Saccharomyces cerevisiae S288C: one gene and its partner. The protein of the gene in region 1 interacts with the protein of each later gene in a biochemical or structural test. Each region holds a gene or a part of one and is shown in the gene's direction. Other genes may lie near its edges. The genes, in order: TRX3 and TRR1.

Region 1 (3,196 bases):
TTACTTACATGTTATGAATTAGAAAAAAAATATCATGGCAACGAATGTGAAATAAATTATTATGAGATCCTATTGAAAATTTTAATAACTTATGGGTCATCTCCCAAATTACTTGCAACATCTACAAAAATCATTATGTTGTTATTGAATGATAGCGTGGAAAACTCATCTAATATTTTGGAGGATATTTTGTACTACTCAACTTGTCCGTCGGAAACCGATCTTAACGATATTCCATTGGGTAGTGGACAACCAGACAATGACACTGTTGTAACCAACGATGATAAAAGTGACGATGATGATCACACAGTCGACGAAATTGATCATGTAGAATATTACGTTATGATGGACTTTGCCAATCTTTGGGTTTTCCAAGCGTTTACCTGTTTCTGCATCAAAAAAATCATGGAGAATAATGAGCCAGCAATGGCAATGGAAGACTTGAAGAACTTCATATTCCAAATTATCGAAATAACTAATTCTAATGATTTATGTTCACAAATATTTGACCAACTGAAGGATATGCAGACCATTGAGATGATAACCCAAATAGTGGAGAAAGATTTCTGCACTTCTTGTTTGCAAAACAACAACCAAAAGATAGATGATAATTACATCGTTGTGGTGATCGAGATTATAACGTCATTATCGATGAGGTTTCAAAGAGAAACTTCTGGTATGATAGTTATTTCCATGGAGAACTATCATTTACTAATAAAGATCATAAGACAATTAAGTGAACTGAACGAAGGAAATTTATCTAAGAGAGAAATCCAAATAGATGCCGTCTTGAAAATTTTTAGCTTTCATCAGGATTCCATTTTCCAACGCATCATCGCTGATTTATCAGCTGATAAACCCACAAGTCCATTCATTGATAGCATATGCAAGCTGTTTGATAAAATATCATTTAATTTAAGATTGAAGCTGTTCTTGTACGAAATTTTGTCTTCATTGAAATCATTCGCCATCTATTCATCCACAATTGATGCCCCAGCATTCCACACAAGCGGTAAGGTCGAACTACCGAAGAAATTGCTGAACTTACCACCATTCCAAGTGTCCTCTTTCGTTAAGGAAACAAAACTTCATAGTGGCGACTACGGGGAAGAAGAAGATGCAGACCAAGAAGAATCGTTTAGTTTAAATTTAGGAATCGGCATAGTTGAAATAGCGCACGAAAACGAACAGAAATGGCTCATTTATGACAAGAAAGATCATAAATATGTCTGCACATTTTCCATGGAGCCGTACCACTTCATCTCCAACTATAATACCAAGTACACAGATGACATGGCTACAGGCAGTAATGATACGACTGCGTTTAACGATTCCTGTGTAAACCTGAGTCTTTTTGATGCTCGGTTTGAGAGGAAAAATCCACATTGATCTCAGAATATATCCAAATGGATAAATTATAAATTTACCAATAACAGTAATTATGTGTCAGTTTTAATACCCAACCAATTGATTCCTCTAAATGATACCGTACCAAATGACATGTTTGCCACCGATTATAAAACTGGGGTTTATGAGCGATGGTTAAGGAGGATTAAGACAAAGTGCTCATCCGCTTACAAGATCAGTACTAGCGTGTACCAGTCTATTTAAACTGGAATGATCACCCCAAAGGGAACGCACGATGCTGTGGCCAAGTTTCAAAAAACTGACCTGCATCAAGATCTCGATTACATCGTACTGCAACAACGAAGAACACAGCTAGAGACGCTTATTAACGAAAGAGAATCTTTTGTCAAGAATCTGTGTTCTCTTTTCCACAAAATTCAAAATACCAAGAATTACCAGGAATTTGTTGATGTATTGGCGGAGAATAGGGATTTACTGCGAGAAATTTTCACTGTAGAGAACGGATTTCAAAAGCAAAAATGGATTAGCAACGACGACATTCCCCAGATAGACTGGGACAAGTTTGCCCTAGATATCAACGCTTATATAGCAGAGAACGATCAATTGTTGGCTTTGTATGAAGATGGCTTATTATGATCAAATAGCGGCTATGGACATTTTTAAACATATATTTATATATATATACATATATGCGTATATTGCATAAATCACAAAGAAGAACAACGCCCTAGATATAGTGACCCAAAATATTATGTTTAAGTTACTGGTTGGGGTTCATGTACATTTTTCACTATCTTTTAATTCCAAATGTGGATTGTGCTTCTGCAGATTTTGTTGCCTAGTATTCTGTGATGGAAAAAATTGCCCCGATGAGATATAAAATGAGCTAGCCCCCTAACCAAAGAAAGCAGGATTGGTTAGTACATAGAGAAACCAAAGCTGTTATGTTGTTCTATAAGCCTGTGATGAGGATGGCGGTGAGACCGCTAAAAAGCATAAGATTCCAGTCCTCATACACCAGTATTACTAAATTGACGAACCTAACAGAATTTAGGAATTTGATCAAGCAAAATGATAAACTAGTCATCGATTTTTATGCTACTTGGTGTGGCCCCTGTAAGATGATGCAACCACACTTAACGAAATTAATTCAGGCTTATCCAGATGTAAGATTTGTCAAGTGCGACGTGGACGAATCACCAGATATTGCCAAAGAGTGTGAAGTGACGGCTATGCCCACCTTTGTTCTTGGCAAGGATGGCCAACTCATCGGCAAGATCATTGGAGCTAACCCTACTGCTTTAGAGAAGGGAATCAAAGATCTATAAATTTTATATTCATGAGCACATGTAGTTTTTTTTTTTTTAGTTTTAAATATAAGAAAAAAGATAGTATATATATATATATATATACATATACATATAAAAGGAAAGTAAGCTTATACAATACACAAATAAATTCATATCAAAGAATAATGAACCGCAATATTCAGAAACACAGGAAAAGGAGGGGAAGGGATGAATGGTGAGGAAAGTAACTGTTTGTTTTAAAGCGTACCTGGATCATAACATAACAAATAAGTAGATAAAAAAGAATAGAGAGAAAGATATAATGACAATGAATTGAAGAATAGTTTAGTTAGTTACATTTGTAAAGTGTTCCTTTTGTGTTCTGTTCTTAATTTGGCGCTATTTTTTTATACTTCCAAATCCTTGCTTTACAATCACCGCTACCAGTAGCAAAAACGTTATATTCTGGACCCAGCGGAGACCCGTTTGCCACAGCCACAGATATAACTGAATTCCTATGACCTTGCAACATCAATAAC
Region 2 (3,317 bases), on another chromosome or scaffold:
GGGATCAAAAAAAAACAAACGTAAACGTGCACATAAACGTCAAGTACTTTTTGCAGGCATTAATATTCGTCTCCAACAAAGACAAATAAAGAAGCAATCTTTTCATTACCTTAAGCCAGTATCTATTGATATCAATCGATAAGGTTCGTTGTTATCGGTGCTAAAAATTATAAAGTGAAAATAAGAATCTTTTCATGTCGTGCTCAAACGGCATCTGGCCTACTGTATCTAATTTGTGCGGATCATTATCCTTCTTCACCTCTGTTATTTCATTGTTTCCACAAATAATTGAGACTTATCGAGATAAATCTGTCGATGGGCTATCGCCATATTTTTTGCTGGCTTGGTTATGTGGGGATATTACCTCGCTGATAGGGGCAAAGCTAACAGGGCAATTGTTATTTCAGATACTTTTAGCAATTTATTTTCTATTGAATGATTCTTTTGTATGTGGTCAATATTATTACTATGGCGTGCTGCATGAAAATAAATTGGCGACTGTCGGCCATGAGCCTAAACCTCTTCTTCCCGAACTGGTTGAAAATGGTGAGCTTTTGAGGGAGGAAGAGGACATGATACAAGGTGGTAGCAGTGCAGAAAGCCCTAGAAGCAGTAGAAGAAGGTCTGCCATTACAGCAGCCTTGGCTATAGCTCATACTATAAGTACAGCTAGCGCATATCCGCTAAATGTAGGCTCCACCCAATCACAAGTGGGGCCTCCCGGAGATGGTAAAAACAGCCAGCTGGGTACAATTTTATCTTGGATTGGCGCTTCCTTCTACGTAGGCGCACGTATCCCACAACTAATCAAGAATTACAATAGAAAGTCTACAGACGGCTTATCTCCCTTCCTATTTGCTACTACACTACTCTGCAATATCACGTATAATTTGAGCATCTTCACAAGCTGTAGATTTTTAGATAATCAGAACAAGAGGGAATTCATCGTGAATGAGTTGCCCTTTATATTTGGAAGTGCTGGAACAATTGCGTTTGATTTGATATACTTCTACCAATACTATATCCTTTATGCAACTGATATGCAACTACGTGAACTGGAAAGAGAACTATACAGTCCTGAAGAAGACAGTGCAGCGCAACTAGTGACAGAACGTACATCACTGTTGTCTGGTGAAACGCAAACATAGTTTTCCCTACGGAGTACTACCATTTATATTTAAACAATGCACTCTGCTCTTGGGATAGTCCTTGCGAGACCCTTTTTTCCCAATAGGAATACTACGTTCGTACTCTGTGTAAAAGTACCCAACTATAGTTAGCGCCAGTTTTACGTAAAACCGTCTATGTCTTGTTTGCATTCGCAACAGCTACAAACACATATAGTTTGTCACACTAATATTAATAATGAAAGTTATTATGTATTCACTGTGAACGCTTCAGTATACAGTACGGCAGTAAGTGTTTCATTCTGTTCTGGATTAATAATCTTTCACTTTGCCTAGCCATTTGGGGGCGGGTTTTGGCTGGGTTAGCTTCTCCTTAGTCATGGAGAAAAAAAATCGCCCGCAAGTATCTCGAAAAAGGAAAAAATGCCCACGCGTATAAGAGTGGACCCAACTGCTCGAGGTTTCAAGAGCTTGTAGATTAATTTCTGTAGTTCAGTTATACTTGCCTACAAGTGCTATACAGCAAATAGCGAACAGTACGAAAGTAAACATCATATTATCAATAATGGTTCACAACAAAGTTACTATCATTGGTTCAGGTCCAGCTGCACACACCGCCGCCATCTATTTGGCCAGGGCAGAAATCAAGCCAATCCTATATGAAGGTATGATGGCGAACGGTATTGCTGCCGGTGGCCAGCTAACCACCACTACAGAAATCGAAAACTTCCCAGGTTTCCCAGATGGTCTAACAGGTAGCGAACTGATGGACAGAATGAGAGAACAATCCACGAAGTTTGGCACTGAAATTATCACGGAAACAGTTTCCAAAGTTGATCTGTCTTCCAAACCATTCAAGCTATGGACCGAATTTAACGAAGACGCAGAACCTGTGACGACTGACGCTATAATCTTGGCCACAGGCGCTTCTGCTAAGAGAATGCATTTGCCGGGCGAGGAAACCTACTGGCAAAAAGGTATTTCTGCCTGTGCCGTGTGTGATGGTGCCGTCCCCATTTTCAGAAACAAGCCATTGGCCGTCATTGGTGGTGGTGACTCTGCATGTGAAGAAGCTCAGTTCTTGACCAAGTACGGCTCAAAAGTGTTTATGCTTGTCAGAAAAGACCATTTGCGTGCTTCTACCATTATGCAAAAGCGTGCTGAGAAGAACGAAAAAATTGAAATCCTTTACAACACTGTTGCGCTAGAAGCTAAGGGGGATGGTAAATTATTGAATGCCTTGAGGATTAAGAACACTAAAAAGAATGAAGAAACCGATTTGCCAGTCAGCGGTTTATTTTATGCAATTGGCCACACTCCAGCAACAAAGATTGTCGCTGGCCAAGTCGACACTGATGAAGCGGGCTACATTAAAACTGTCCCAGGCAGCTCATTAACCTCCGTTCCAGGATTTTTCGCTGCTGGTGATGTTCAGGATTCTAAATACAGACAAGCTATTACTTCTGCTGGCTCTGGTTGTATGGCCGCTTTGGATGCTGAGAAATACTTAACTTCCCTAGAATAGATGAATTTTCCATTATAAAATAGATACACTCAAATTTTTGTATACTTATCCAACAAATCGTTACTTTCTCCTTTTCTTTAATAAAAAGCAAACCATGAATTTTATTTCTTTTCCCCATTATTAGAGAAAGCCAATACATAATCTACATATATTGCGTGTCTGAATTAAACTTTTTAGACACATGACATAGGCCATCGGCTTACTTTGTAACGCGTGGTTGCCTATACACCGACTATTAAGTTATGACTAATATTATTGCTGCGCTTCCCCACCTGCATTTTTCTTGTCGTCTTTGCCAAAAGGAAAAAAAAACCTACGCAGATTGACTCTCTAAAAAATGATTCATGACCAGACAATTCAGTAAACATAAACTCTGTTGCATTCATTCTTCTGGAAAACTTTATAATAAAGCATCTGATATTACAGCTACTGACAACTAAGTGAATTTAAACTGCAATAATCACAAGAAAACTTAGTATTCCCTTATCATGTCCGAGGCGACTTTGCTATCTTACACCAAGAAATTATTGGCTTCTCCGCCGCAATTGAGTAGCACAGACCTACACGATGCGTTGCTGGTTATATTAAGTCTTTTGCAAAAATGTGATACAAATAGCGATGAGAGTCTTTCCATCTATACCAAAGTTTCGAGTTTTCTCACGGCC

Evidence for each region.
Region 2: of the proteins of TRX3 (region 1) and TRR1, one has a biochemical effect on the other in vitro, tested with the Saccharomyces cerevisiae proteins (one study listed by BioGRID).

Annotation. Positions count from the first base shown.
Region 1 is NC_001135.5:257,266-260,461, forward strand, and holds TRX3 (Trx3p), read left to right. Parts: upstream 1-2,312; coding exon 2,313-2,696; downstream 2,697-3,196. Other genes in the region: SRB8 (Srb8p), read left to right, coding at 1-1,389; AHC2 (Ahc2p), read left to right, coding at 1,618-2,004; chromatin-silencing transcriptional regulator TUP1, read right to left, coding at 3,046-3,196.
Region 2 is NC_001136.10:1,181,607-1,184,923, forward strand, and holds TRR1 (thioredoxin-disulfide reductase TRR1), read left to right. Parts: upstream 1-1,692; coding exon 1,693-2,652; downstream 2,653-3,317. Other genes in the region: YPQ2 (Ypq2p), read left to right, coding at 195-1,148; TRP4 (anthranilate phosphoribosyltransferase), read left to right, coding at 3,141-3,317. UniProt on the Saccharomyces cerevisiae protein: Central component in the thioredoxin system. Reduces thioredoxins 1 and 2.